2 linked regions of the Macaca fascicularis genome follow. The protein of the gene in region 2 binds, or shares a complex with, the protein of the main gene of each other region. Links are inferred from orthologs where the notes say so. Each region holds a gene or a part of one and is shown on either strand. Other genes may lie near its edges.

What was found. The genes of interacting proteins can lie anywhere in the genome.
Region 1: CUL7 (region 2) and CCDC8 share a complex: the UniProt entries of both Homo sapiens proteins name them as parts of the 3M complex. The link is inferred for Macaca fascicularis from reciprocal best matches to the Homo sapiens genes CUL7 and CCDC8.

The regions. Positions count from the first base shown.
Region 1 is NC_088393.1:54,434,041-54,441,181, forward strand, and holds CCDC8 (coiled-coil domain-containing protein 8), read right to left. Parts: upstream 3,853-7,141; 5' UTR 3,052-3,852; coding exon 1,411-3,051; 3' UTR 788-1,410; downstream 1-787. UniProt on the Homo sapiens protein: Core component of the 3M complex, a complex required to regulate microtubule dynamics and genome integrity. It is unclear how the 3M complex regulates microtubules, it could act by controlling the level of a microtubule stabilizer.
Region 2 is NC_088378.1:128,476,765-128,484,053, reverse strand, and holds the start of CUL7 (cullin-7), read right to left. Parts: upstream 4,846-7,289; 5' UTR 4,842-4,845; coding exon 4,694-4,841; exon of another isoform or gene 4,605-4,693; intron 4,341-4,604; exon of another isoform or gene 4,245-4,340; intron 3,759-4,244; coding exon 3,078-3,758; intron 2,733-3,077; coding exon 2,581-2,732; intron 2,438-2,580; coding exon 1,937-2,437; intron 1,375-1,936; coding exon 1,236-1,374; intron 1,136-1,235; coding exon 939-1,135; intron 636-938; coding exon 383-635; intron 31-382; exon of another isoform or gene 1-30. Other genes in the region: MRPL2 (large ribosomal subunit protein uL2m), read right to left, coding at 5,212-5,424, 6,493-6,566, 6,848-6,958, 7,032-7,147, 7,258-7,289. UniProt on the Homo sapiens protein: Core component of the 3M and Cul7-RING(FBXW8) complexes, which mediate the ubiquitination and subsequent proteasomal degradation of target proteins. Core component of the 3M complex, a complex required to regulate microtubule dynamics and genome integrity.

The sequences.
Region 1 (7,141 bases), on a different chromosome or scaffold from region 2:
GGGTGACAGAGACTCCATCTCAAAAAAAAAGAACCAGCAGCAGCAATTAATGCACAAGCAATTAATGCACAATACACACAGCCTTTTTTTTTTTTTTTTTTTTTTGAGACAGAGTCTCACTCTGTCACTAGGCTGGAGTGCAATGGTGCGATCTCGGCTCACTGCAACCTCCACCTTCCGGGTTCAAGAGATTCTCCTGCCTCAGCCTCCCGAGTAGCTGGGACTACAGGCGTGCACCACCAGGCCAGGCTAATTTTTGTATTTTTAGTAGAGACAGGGTTTCACCATGTTGGCCAGGATGGTCTTGATCTCTTGACCTTGTTTGTATCCACCCGCCTCGGCCCCCCTAAGTGCTGGGATTACAGGTGTGAGCCACCACGTCCAGCCAACCACAGCCCCTCTTTTAGGCCTTTTCTTATTGCAATGAGTTTTCAATGTGTCCAATGGCCGAATTGCCCAGATGTTTGGAAGCTTGATGCAAACAGAATTCAGAGCCACACAGGCACCGCTAGCAAATCCACATCTCTGATGCTGAGGGCCCCAGAATCTGTGTTTTGAACGCATTTTTCAGATGCTTTTACTGTACCTTACAACCAAGATCGGGAGAGGTATGCAAACCAAGGGCCCTGTCCCCTCCAAAGCAGCAGAGTCCAGGGGCATGAGGATGGCAAGCGAAGTGACAACATAAACACAGGTGTCTCCATCTTCAAGGATGGGAGTAGAACGGACAGGAAGGGCCGGGTCACCCCCAGAGCATTCGTCAGTTGCCAAGTCCAAAGCTAAGAAACCAGTTCATAAATGTTTTTTTATTTGCATGTTGGCTCAAGTCCTCTTTTTAAGTCCAAGGAGGCAGTCCACGTTAAGTGTGCAGGCAAAAAAGGGACAGGAAAAGCAGGCAATTTCTCCCCTGCCCTCCCGCTCTCCTTTTATCAAGCTGAGCACCTTGAGTTGCATTTGAGGAAATTAAAACTATAGGTGACAGAACCCCCTTGTATCGAATTCTTTCTTTACATTTTTTGGGTTGCTACAAGGAATCAGTATATATATGTGTGTGTGTGTGTGTGTGTATATATATATATATATATTTTATCAGGTGGTACGTGTGGTGGCTCACACCTGTCATCCCAGCACTTTGGGAGGCCGAGGCAGGAGGATCAGTTGAGGCCAGAAGTTTGAGGCTGCAGTGATCATGCCACTGCACTCCAGCCTGGGCAACAGAGTGAGACCCTGTCTCTAAAAAATTTTTTAAAAATCAACGCATGAGACAAAACTTTAACAAGAGAATAAAGAGGGTTGTAAGGTGGAGATGTGGGCAGCACTCCAACTCCACTTTCAAGTTCAGAGGCAGAAAGAGCAACTTTCTCTCCCACGCTTGTAGGGAGGGCCCGTGGGCTGTCTCTAGCCCTCACCTCACAGCTGGTCTTCTCGCTCTCCCTGTTCAGCTTCTGCTTTGGCCTCGGCCCTCAGCACCCTGAGGCTCCTGGCCTCGCCTGCCCTGGGGACTCTCTTGGGCAGGGTTGGCAACCGGGGAGTGTGCCAGAAGGCTCTCCGGGGCTTGCGAAACCACGAAAAGCGTCCAGGGGTCTGGAACCTCACTGTCTTGACCTGTTTCCGGGCCCTGGCTCCTGAAGCTGTTCCTGTGGCCCCTTGGGCAGCTGAGGCTTCAGCTTCCTGGATACCTGGGGCCCCTGCCCTCTGATTATGTGCAGCCTCTGCCCTTTGGCCAGCCCGGGCCTGTGCCCTCTGATTACCTGCACGCTGGACAGCTGGGGCCCTTTCCCTCTGGTCATGTATGGCCTCTTCCCTTTGAGGATCTGTAGCCTCTGACCCCTGGTCAGCTAGAGCCTCTTCCCTCAGGTTATCTGCACCCTGTGGCCTATGGTCAGCTGGGGCCTCTGCCCTCTGATTATCTGCAGCCTCTTCCCCATGGTTATCTGCAGCCTCTGCCCCCTGGTCAGCTGGGGCCCCTGCCCTCTGATTACCTGCAGCCTCTTCCCTCTGGTCAGCTATGGCCTCTTCCCTCTGATTATCTGCAGCCTCTTCCCTATGGTTATCTGCATCCTCTGCCCCCTGGTCAGCTGGGGCCCCTGCCCTCTGATTACCTGCAGCCTCTTCCTCCTGGTCAGCTATGGCCTCTTCCCTCTGATTATCTGCAGCCTCTTCCCCCTGATCAGCCTCGATGTCTGCCCCCTGACCTGTGGGCGCTGTCTGCTCCTTCCTGCGGCGCCTAAACGAGGCCCAGTTGATCTTGGGCCTCCATCGCCTAGGGGAGGCCTGCGGGGCACAGACATCTCCCACATTTTCCACAGGATCCCCGGGATCCCCGGGGCTGGTGCCGGAGGATACCCCTGCGCTCTCCACTGGGATGGAGGCCAGCCGGGCCTCGCCCACCCCGGGGCCCGCCCTCGGCGCCCAACCCTTCACCCTCCGCTTCAGCTTCCCCCAGGACACCTGGCTGACATACTCCCGCCACCTGTCCGCCTTGGACAGCTGAGGCCCCAGGTTGTCCTCAAACATGGGCACTGGCAGGTTGACGCGGCGGCGGGCAGGCGGCGCGGGGGGCTGCTTCTCCTGTCGCCGGAGAAATGCCTCCACCAGTTCCTCATCATCCTCGCTCTCCACGTCGCTTCCCAGGAACTTGCTGCCCAGGTAGCTGACGGGCATTTTGCGCACCTTCTTGCCCCGCCGCGGGCCCTGGCGGCTCTTGTCTCTGGAGGTCTCGAAGTCGCTGAACTCGCTGTCGCTGGCGTTGCTGCTGTCATACGTGCCCACGACCAGCCGGGGCGTAGGAGTCACCATCTGCTGCACTCTCCTCCTCACTCGGGGCTCCTTGGGCTTTTTGGGGGGCTGGGGCGGGTGCGGGGTGCTCTTCTCGATGATGCGGGCCACGTCCTCCAGGGTGCGGCCCTGTTCTTCCAGGAACTGGGTCAGCCGCTCCCGAAATTCTGCTTCCTTGGTGGCAGGCTTAGAGATGACTCTCCAGACGCCCCCGGCCAGCCTGACCTCCCGGGGGATGAGCAAATAGTCGACGTCCTCCCCGATCTGCAGCATCCCCACCGTGGAGTCCTCCTCCTTGCGGAACACCTTGCCGATCTTCTTAAATGTTCCCACGGGTTTTAGGGCTTCCACGAGGACGTCCAAATCCACATCTTTGCAGACATCGGGGACGCTCCAAAGAATGAGGCAGTCGGGGGACGGGAGGAAGCCCCAGGGGAACCAGCCCCCCACGTGGCTTTTCTCGAGAGTCTTTAAGATCTCCAGGGTGATATCTGGGGTGAGGGAGCAAAGAGCCCCAACAAACTACTGTAGCCCTTAGTCTTGAGGGAGGGACTGGATGGGGGGAGTCCCAGCAACGCTGACCGCAGAGTCTCACCTCCCCAGCCAGGGACGAGTCAACGCCTCCAATCTCTTCTCCTGCAACAAGTCCAGTCTTGACCAAGTCCGGCTCCTCCACCAAGGACTTGGGAGAATCAATTTCCAGGATGCCTACGTGAGCCGGGGGCGAGGTCAGTCCCAAGGTTCAAGGCCCACTCCAAGCTGGAAACGTGGTGTCCCGGCTCCAAGTTGGGGCGCGCGGGCTGCCAGCGATTCTTCCTGCCCCAGGCCCCTGGGACGCGGTTGGAACTTGGGAGAGGACTTCGCAGACAAAGACGGTCCAGTCGAGGCTATTCAATATGGCGGAGGCGCTGAGAGGCCTCAGCCCGGCCCCCCAGTAGGGTCCCCCGCCCCCAGGCAGGCCACCACCCAGCTCCAGGCTGACCTTGACGCGCCGCAGCCTGCCAGCCCGCGCGCTTAGGGCTCTGCACGGTGGAGCGCACCAGCAGGAAGTTCCTCCTTGCCCTCCGCCAGAATGAGGCCCACCTTCCCCCGTCTCATCTTACACTCCCAGACTCTGGAAGACTGACAGGGGGGCTGTCCACTCTCTTCGGGGCAGCCTCCTTCCCCTCCCCCACAGGGGTGTGGCCGCGCCTGGGGCCTAGCTGGGCCCATTGCTTCCCAGCGAAGCGGCGGTGGCCCACGTCAGCACCTTTGCTGAAAGGCAGCGGTTCCCAAACCTGCCATCCGAAATGTACAAGTTTCCAGCCAAGTCCTGGAGGTGGGTGTGCCAGTGGATTCTACCTTTTGAGAGCCACTGGCACCATAGATTAGCATTTTAAATTCACGCGACTATCCGTACCCGTACACCCAGACGCGTGGGTAGAGAAATGGGTACCGGGATCTTATTGCAACAGTCCCCCTGTGACGCTTGGCAGGAGGTCAGGGCTCTACATATTTTTGAGTGGATGAATAAACCTGAATGTTCATAGCCAGGCGCGGTGGCTCATGCCTGTAATCCCAGCACTTTGGGAGGCCTAGGCGGGTGGAACACTTGGAGGCCAGGAGTTCGAGACCAGCCTGGCCAACATGGTGAAACCCTCGTCTCTACAAAAAATACAAAAATTAGCCGGGTGTGGTGGTGTGCGTGTGTAGTCCCAGCTACACGGGAGGCTGAGGCAGGAGAATGGCATGAACCCGGGAGGTGGAGGTTGCAGAGATGGCGCCACTGCACTCCAGCCTGGGCAACAGAGGGAGACTCTGTCTCAAAAAAACAAAAACAAAAAAAAAAAAAAAAAAAAAAAAAAAACAAAAAACAAAACCAAAAAAACCCCACAAATAAACAACAACAAAAAAGCCTAAAAGTTCATGAGTAGATACTGCCTCTATTTTATGGTAGTATCTTACAGTGAAATATTTTGCAACTTTGAAAAAAGAATGAGATGGCTAAGGATAGGCACGGTTTATGAGGCGCTTCTTGTGTAGTAGGCACCATTCCCAGTGCTTTCTATGAATGAACTCAGGAAATCCTTGCTATAGCAGGAGACTGGTAGCATGAGTACAACTCCCATTAGACAGCTGAAGAAACTGATGCCCAAGGACATAAAACCACTCTTTCAAGGTCACAGCCAGGGGGAGTGGTTGAGTTTGGATTTGAATCCAGAATAGTCTGCCTTTTGTGCCCACCAAAGAGTCAAGATGGCCGGGCATGGTGGCTCACGCCTGTAATCCCAGCACTTTGGGAGGCCAAGGCAGGCGGATTCCGAGGTCAGGAGATCAAGACCATCCTGGCTAACGTGGTGAAACCCCGTCTCTACTAAAAATACAAAAAAATTAGCCAGGTGTGGTGGTATGTGCCTGTAGTCCCAGCTACTCTGGAAGCTGAGGCAGGAGAATCTCTTGAACCCGGGAGGCCGAGGTTGCAGTGAGCCGAGATCGCACTACTGCACTCCAGCCTGGGCAACAGAGCGAGACTCCATGTAAAAAACAAACAAACAAACAAACAAAAAAACACACACACACACACAGTCAAGATGTGGACCAATGCTAGTAGGCTCGGTTCTTGAGACGCGAGTCTACCGAAGCTCCCGGCAGTGGAGAGGCGAGTCTGCTGAAGCTCCCGTCGGAATAAAGCCAAATCCTTCCTTAACCCGGTGTTTGAGGGGTTTTGTCGGAAGCTCCTCCTGCTACAGTACTTGCGACTAGCATTGGTCCACATCTTTGGAACCAGGCATCAAGAGATATGCTGAATAGGCCTCCTTGTTAGGAATTCTGAGAGGTACATGGTAATAAGGCCAGTGCCATCAATCATCTTTTTACAGATGGGGAAACTGAGGCCGGTCTGAAGTTGCACAGCTCCGAGTGGTGGATCTAATATTAGAACCAGATCTTGGGCACTAGCATAAACAGTAGCAGACGCTAAAGACACAGCTAATCTCATTCTCCTAAATGCGTTGAACCATTTAACCCCTTAACAGCCATAATACTTGCAGGCTGTCTTGCCTGGATGTGTACAAATCCCCCTGACTGGGCTCCCTGCCTCCCCATCACTGCTTGCAATCCAGGCCCCACCCAGAAGCTGGGGGCATCTTTTAAAAACTTAGGTCCCATCTGTCTCTACTCTTTTGAAAATTCTCCATCTCAGGCTGGGCGCCATGGCTCACGCCTTTAATCCCAGCAGTTTGGGAGGCTGAGGCCGGTGGATCACCTGAGGTCAGGAGTTTGAGACCAGCCTGGCCAACATGGCAAAACTCCATCTCTACTAAAAAAATTTAAAAATGCCGGGCACGGTGGCTCACGCCTGTAATCCCAGCATTTTGGGAAGCTGAGGCGGGTGGATCACGTGAGGTCAGGAGTTCGAGACCAGCCTGGCCAACATGGTTAAACCCCGCCTCTACTAACAATACAAAATTAGCCTGGCATGGTGGCGCATGCCTGTAATCCCAGCTACTCGGGAGGCTCAGGCAGGAGAATCGCTTGAACCTGGGAGGCAGAGGTTGTAGTGAGCTGACACTGTGCCATTGCACTCAAGCCTGGGCAACAAGAGAGAAACTCCGTCTCAAAAACCAAACAAAAAACAAAACAAAACGAAACAAACAAAATACAAAAATTAGCCGGGCGTGGTGGCACCTGCCTGTAATCCCAGCTGGGGAGGCTGAAGAACGAGAATTGGTTGAACCCAGTAGGCGGAGGTTGCAGTGAGACAAGATCGCGCCACTGCACTCCAAGCTTGAGACAGAGCAAGACTCCGTCTCAAATAAGTAAATACATAAATAATAAATAAATAAATAAACGTTATCTTATTTAACTCGTAAAGGAGCCAGGCAAATTTTTAAAGAGGGAACGGAGGAAAAAGAGACGGGCGAGAGGGTAAGAAAAGATACGTGGGGCTTAGGGGAAGTTAAGGTCTCAGCGAGCGGCCTGTTCAGAATTACTGGCTTATTCAGGTTGTTTTTCTCTTGCAGAGCCAGGTCGTTGGGCTTCGCTAGATTTTTCTCCTCTTTCTCCCTGGCTGGGTCCCAGCCGCCGCGCTCAGCCCCCGGGCCTCCCACGGCCCCGCCCCGCCCCTCCCTCTTGCAGTTTGTGGCCTCCGCAGTCCGGCGGTCTCCATGGCAACCATGGGACGCGCTCCTCCGAGCGGGTCAAAGCTAAGCGGGTGGGATGGAAGCGGAGGCGGAGGCTGCAGGGAGATGGTGGGGGTGGGGACCCCACGGAGGACGGCAGGAGCCCCTCTTTTCTGCCTCTGGTGCCTCCCTTAGGCCTCGTCCCCAAAGCCAGCTTCCCTGAAAAGCTGTTTGTAGAAACCAAAAAATGAAAAATCCTAAGG
Region 2 (7,289 bases):
GCCTCCCAAAGAGCTGGGATTACAGGTATGAGCCACCGCACCTGGCCTTTATATTCTTAAAGTAGCAAAGTAGCTTCATCTGCAAACAGGAGAGCACTTCCCTTTATTTCAAAGCATGGAGTATATTTCTCTACAAGAAAAAAAGCTAAATGTGGGGGCTTTTATAAGTCTTCAAAATTATCTTGCAATTTTCTAACTTTACATCCTCCTTCATTCTTTGAGGGAACACAGTGCCCGCTTCTCCATTTGTTGCTTCTCTGTAAGTTGCAGATTCTAAGGTGGCATCACTTCCAGAAAGGATTGCATAAAAATCAGCACAGACATCTCTCCTGTGCTAATGCCCTGAAGGTGTGTCGGCTCAGCTGCTGTGTCTGGCACCCACCTTCCACTTTGGCTGCATCTTCTGAGTCCTTAACCTGGGCCTGAGCTTGCAGGAGGACATCTTGTTGGGCTTCTAGAAGGGATGGGTAGGCTGAGTGCCCTGCTAGGGCTTCAGGCCCATACTTCTTGTAGACACGGCAGTTGATCAGGTCCCTGAGGGCACTGTCATTGAGTCGCTGTGGCAGAGTCAGCAGCAAGTCCTGGGCCAATTCTATGGGCACGGCCAGTTCAGCTAGGATCTCATCATCCAGAATCTGCCATCAAGGAGAAGCTCTCATTGCAGACAGCCCTGCCGGCACAGAGGACCCAGGGAGCGCTTGGTAGAGGTGGGGCTCTCTCTGCACACATACCCTCCATCCTGATCTTCTCAGCTGGCAGCTGGCTCCTCCCAAACAGCTCACCAGCCTCTCCCACCTCTGAAAATTCCAGACCCCTCCTCTGCAGCCCCTTCCACTCTCTGACCTCCACTTTTCATCCTGAGCCTTTCAAATGCTCTATACAGTCCAGCCCTTGCAATAGAGCCCTCCAACCTCTGAGTGCCTCCAGGCTGGCTCTACCTCCCCATCTAGGTTCTCCTGGAGGATCTGGAGAACCTCCTGATGGTCAGGTCCATCCAGCTTCTTGATGAAGAAGAGGAGTTCCCACCACTCAGCCAGGGTCAGGTGTTCACACTCCTCAGTGTCCTCATCCTCAGGCAGCACATAAGGCACAGCATAGAGTTCCGTCATGGGCCTCCAGCGCCAGGCGGGCAGGGCTGTGGAAATGGGCCGAGGGGCACAGGGATGTCACTAGCAACTGAGCAGGACCACCGTTACTCTGCTCAGAGCTGACCCTTGCTTACTCCCTGAGCTCACCTCTACCCAGGACTCTACTGGCCACCGCCCCTTGGTACTCATCAGCCTCAACCATGTCCTCAACGTCTTCCTCAAAGCCCAAGATCTCCAGCATGTGCCAGTGCACCCAATAGGTGCGGCCTGTTAACTCCCACAATACCTGGAGAATAGGGAAAGAAAGAGAGGGAAGGGGAAGGGAGGACTCACTAATGACTGGCTGTGGCCTAGTACTGAGGACTTATAGCCCTCAGGGTGACCACCTGGCCAGGTTTTAGAAAAACCTTCATATAACAAAACAGCAGCATATGGAGTATACACACACACACACACACACACACACACACACACACACACACACACAAAGGATGCCCTCTCCTTTGGGGGATGGGCCTGTCTTTCCTCTCACCCTATCTTTCACGGCTTATGCCCCCACACTTCCTTCTGGCCTCTACCACTCCATCTCCCTGACCCTGACCTTTGGAGGAGTCTGGCTATATCAGTTTCTTCCTGTGTGAGTCTTCTTGACTTCACAGCCTCCTAAACCCAGATTTTCCAGCTCTCAGAATGGCCCGCCTCTCAACTACTGACTCTTTTTCACCATCCCAATCTTATAGAAAGCTTTCTCTTTGGGTGGTCTGCTGGAGCCCCTCTGTATGGAAGCCCCAACTCTGCCCCACCCCAAATAGACCCCTAACAGTGTCCCACCACCATATGCCACTCACCTGCACAGGAGGCACGCCGCTGTTGCTCTGCCGAAACTCGCCCTCATCCCCGGCACTGATCTCCTCATAATCATCCAGCATCCGCACTCGCATCCCCGGCTGCAGTGTGTCCCGCACATACAAGGCATAGGTATTGCCGCTTGCAAACTCAGAACGAGGGCGAAAACGTCTTGACCTCCTGAAGGAGGGCTGAGCCTGGGCAGTGGGGAACCCTGGGCTCACATCTGCCAGCTGAGGCTGGAAGATGGAACCGGGGAACCGTGCTGAGCTCCTTGGTCTGTCTGTGGCCTGGTCCCAGCGCATGGCTTGCACCAGCTCCGAGATCAGGGTGCCCATGGCCATACTGAACTCCAGCTCCAGTTGACCCCTCTTCCCACTCAACTCCTCAGGAGCAGAAGTGTTCTGGGCTCCTGGCTCCGCAGCACTGTTGTTCAGCTGATCCAGGAGCGAGGTGACATGCAAATACCGCTTCACGAGGGAGAAGAGCACCCTTCCTGGGACCTGTGGGATACAACCTTTGGCCTACATCCACCTTGTCCCAGTTTAAGACCCTCTCTCCATACCATCCTCTGTAGATAGGTGCAAAGGCCTGGTCCCTAGATCTTGTTCACAAGCTCCCCCTACCTTATACCCCCAAAGGTTACCTGTGGTAGCTGAATGCCCTCAAAAGACATGGGATGTTCAGAGAGCGTGGCCTGTGCAAACAGTGCTAGCAGAGCACAGCGGCTGTCAAAATCCAGGTGTTTCTCAATGGCTTCTTGTTGGCTCAGTGACAGAAGGATTTGAGTCCGGGTCCCTGTAACCCATATCCCAATTAGTAACTTCTCCCTAATCTCACCCTTCCTAGAAATCTTAGACCCTCTATTCTTTCAATCCAATCCTTTTGCCACCACACAATGGGAAAGAACTGATTTGCTTCAAAAGCTAAAATTTGACAACTTATATACATACACACACGCACATAAACACCATCTACAATAGTCTAAACTGTAAATTCTTCCTTTGCATAAAAAGCAACTAATTAATATGAGGTTATTGAAGATAGTCTTTCCTCTTTTGGCAGATAACCCCCACCCTCACTCCCATTCCCACCTCCTTTTCTTCCAACTCTAAGAGAAGGGCAACAGAATCATTTACGTACTGATGAGATCAGAGGCTCCTGCCACAGTGTCCTGTGAGTCCCTGAGCCGACCCAGCCCTTCTGCTTTCCCTTCCTCCCCACACTGCCCCTCACCAGCATCATGGGAGGACAGGGCTTGTATCATCCGGCCTGCGCTCCAGCGAATCTGATAATCGGGACTACTCAACATGTGCATGAGCAAGTCCAGGACTCTTGGGTCCTTGAATACCCCAGTGAGGGGCTCGATGCTGGCATAGGCGCTGAGCACGTGGACAGTGTGAAGTAGAGGAGCAGGAGGGATGGTGCCCACACACTCCTCCAGCTGCCGAAGGGCTCTCTGAATGAGGGACTTCACATCGGTTTCCATCTCCTCCAGCACAGATTTGTCCAGGGCCCCAACCTCCCCTGCAGACTCCTGGGAGGGCCCGATGACCTGGCCATCCTCGCCCAGCATCTTGTGGCAGTTGGCATAGATCTCATCCTTGGACATCCACAGCAGGATGTGCTCAGCCTTGCAGTCCACTTGGCCAGAGCCCCCGTCACCCTCATCGGCACGCCGCAGGATGAGCCAACGGATCTGGTACTCAGGATGCCCATCATGGCCCACTCGCTGGCGGATCAGCTCATCAGGATAGGCATGTAAGCCAGGCCCCAGGGGCACCCTGAATTCCCTGTAGCGGAGTTCCCCCACCATCCTGGCACCTGGAGCACACAAGGAAAAGAGAACAGACAAGCTAGAGTAAGGAGAGGTCAGAAAATCAAAGACATCCAGGAGGTGGGAAAGCAAATGGCAACAGCTGTCAGGCGGGGTGGGGTAAAGCCAGGCCCAGGAGTTGCATGCTGCATGCTGAGTCGGGGCAGGCCTAAGCAGAGAACTACTGGGGTGTTTTGTTGTGAAATAACACAAAATTTGGGGGCTAAAAGGAAGGTCCCCAAGACCCTGAGGCCTGGAGTGGGTTGGTTTGGAACAGTGGGCAGACTAGTGGGGGCAGGCAGGGCAGCCTTGGAGTTACAAGTGAATCCCAAGGCCTTGAAACAGGCAGCTACCCTGGGGATATGTGAAGCCCAGAGGGCTATGTTTGGGAGGGAGATCCTGAGTGTGTGTGGAAAGGGGTGCTGTCTCTAAGGATTGGAGCATGGGAGTGTGAGACCCAAGTTAAGAGTCCCGAGATCGCAGAATTAAGAGACCTGAGAACTGGTGGTGGAGTGGGAGGGCAAGGCGCGATGGACTGGGAGGAGGCACTGGTGGGTTGGAGGCGCCTCTGACTGGAGCGACTGGAGCAACTGGAACAAAAGGGCTGGTGGGGGCGCCGCGAGACCCAGGGCAGGGTGCACAGACAAGGTAGGTGAGGGGCGCGAGGCTTGGGGGACCGAGGTTGGAGACCCGAGAAGCCAGGGGCGCGCGGTAAAGTGGGGGAGGGGGGATTAGGCCCCATAAACTAGAACCCCGAGGCCCAGTAGGATGGGGAACCGAGGTTGGGTGAGCGCAAGGCTCGATGGGCAAGTGGGCAGGAGAGGAGCAAGGGGCCGCGGCGGGGCTCTGGCCACCTCAGAAGTCCACCGGGGTCCTGGCGCGAGGCCTGTCCTTCACAGAGCAAGGGACGCGGCACAGATGCTGGCGGCGACTCGGGCCCCACCTGGGCCCCGCGAGGGGGTCGAGACGGAGAGACAGGAAGGGGCGTGCCTCTGCGGAACAGAGCGGCAGCCGCCTGGGTCGGCAGCCACTGGGGCAGGGTGGAGCCTGGTCCCTGCCAGCGTCTCCGCCAGCCAAAAGCCACGGCTCATTTCCGCCGGACCCAGCGGAAGGCTAGGGGCCCTGGGAAAGGGCCGGGGAGGAGCCGCGGATGCCACCTTGGCGACGCAGCACCTCCTCCTCTGCGCCGCCCTTTCCTCTTCCTTTTGTCCTCCCTCCTGCGGAAGTGCCCACCCTGTTTCCCAGTCACAACTGGAAAAGGCCTTGGACGTCATTTATTTCCACCCCCGGCTCCATTACCTGTAAGGGAATTGGGGTGGGGACAGACCCAGTGTCCTGTACTTTCTTTTCCTCCCACACTTTTTACTTCTTTTCCCCACGTTCAGTCTGTACCATCCCCTCCCGCAAAAAACCAGTAACAGATTACAGGAGGGGGAGGCATTTTATTAGAGTACAGGGATATCAGCTTTGGGCAGCAGCAGAAGGCAGCTTCACGTAACTCTTCATAGGGGGTAGTGGCCGAATCTTTCGGCCAGCCCAGCCTCCCTTGCGGTGCCATCGCCCACTGTTAGGCCTCTTGCCCAGCCAGCGGTTGCGACCTGCCTTGCCAATGACCCGTTTGTTATGATCAACGTTGGATACTCGGCCTACTGTTGCTATGCACGTTTCCAGCACCTGACAGAGAAAACAGATGGAGATTCTATACAATGTGGGGGAAAGAGCTTGACAGTGTTGACAGCAAAACCCTTGGGGGGCTTCTTAGACTCAAGGAGAGGAGAGAGGAAAAAGGAAAAGCACAAGATGGTTGAAGCTAAGTGAAGGTCCTACAGTAGGAACTAGGTAGTTGAAAACAAAGAGCTGGGCGCAAGGACTCAGGCCGGTAATCCCAGCACTTTGGGAGGCCGGGGCTGGAGGATCACTTGAGCTCAGAAGTTCGAGACCAGCCTGGGCAACATAATGAGACCCCATCTCTACAAAAATAAAAAATATTAGCCAGGGCCAGGTGCAGTGGGTCACACCTGTAATTCCAGCACTTCGGAAGCCTAGGCAGGCAGATCGCTTGAGCTCAGGAGTTTGAGACCAGCCTGGCCAACATGGTGATACCTTGCCTCTACAAAAATACGAAAATTAGCCTGGTATAGTGGCGTGCGCCTGTAGTCCCAGCTACTTGGGGGGCTGAGGCAGAATTGCTTGAACCCAGGAGTTTGAGGCTGCAGTGAGCTGACTGTGCCACTGCACTCAAGCAATAGGGACCCTGTCTCAAAAAAAATTAGGGTCGAGCACAGTGGCTCACTCCTGTAATCTCAGCACTTTGGGAGGCCAAGGCAGGCGGATTACGAGGTAAGGAGTTCGAGACCAGCCTGGCCAACGTGGTGAAACCCCATCTCTACTAAAACACAAAAATTAGCCAGCTGTGGTGGTGCATGCCTGCAATCCCAGCTACTCAGGAGGCTGAGGCAGGAGAACTGCTTGAACCTGGGAGGTGGAGGTTGCAGTAAGCCAAGATCGTGCCACTGCACTCCAGCCTGGGCGACAGAGCAAGACTCTGTCTCGAAAAAAAAAAAATTACTTATGGTGCCAATCCGACAAAGCACACCTAAGTCATGTGGCAGAAAAGGACAGCCTTAGCTCAAGGCAGTTCCTTGCATCATAAAACACCTGGGACCTACCTACCCCAGACAGGAAAGTTATATTCCAAAAATTCCTCCTTTGCTGACCCCTCCCAGCCATACCCATACACACCTGCATCTGCCTCTTAGACGGCAGCTGGATAATGGCTGTGCCATTCACCTTCCGCAGTAGCACACCACACGTCCCTGGGGAAAGAAGCTGATCTGCCACCCTCCACAAAACGGGGGGGTGCAGAGGAATTTACACAGGGGCCACATCCCATATGCTGCCCTTGCTTTGCTCTTTAGGAACAGATACACAAAGAAGGATGCATGCTACATTTTAGGTCAAAACACATGCATATCTTCATCCTCATGTTTCTTGTTTTTTCCTTAATTTTCTCTGCCAGTACCAGATGTGGAACCATGGGTTCAGACTCTCCTTGCCTTTCCAAACTATAGGACCCAGGCAACTCCTTTCCCCATACCTGCAGCTCGGATATATTGGGCACCCCGGCCTGGCTCACTTTCCACGTTGTTGATGAGGGTCCCCACAGGCAGAGCCCCAAGAGGATGCGCATCCCCTTCCCGAGCAGCAACTAAAAGACAGGATTTCATTAGCTCTAGAACCTTTGCTGCCTCCAGCCCACACATCTGGTAGCCATCTCTCACCTGCCATTCTGCCTATGTGGTTAGAGTTCAAGACTGTATCTCCAGCCTGCATGTTTTCTGTGGCGATGATCCAGCGTTTCCGGCTGCCCCCAGCAACCAGAGCTATGTCTGCTGACCTGATCAGGGTGAGGGACAGGTAAGCAGACCATCTAGGCAGCCCTATATCTCCTGAGAAGCTATGCAGTTATTCAGACCATTCCATCATCATCCCACATCCCAAACTTGCCTACAGGGATCATAGCGGACTTGGATAACCTT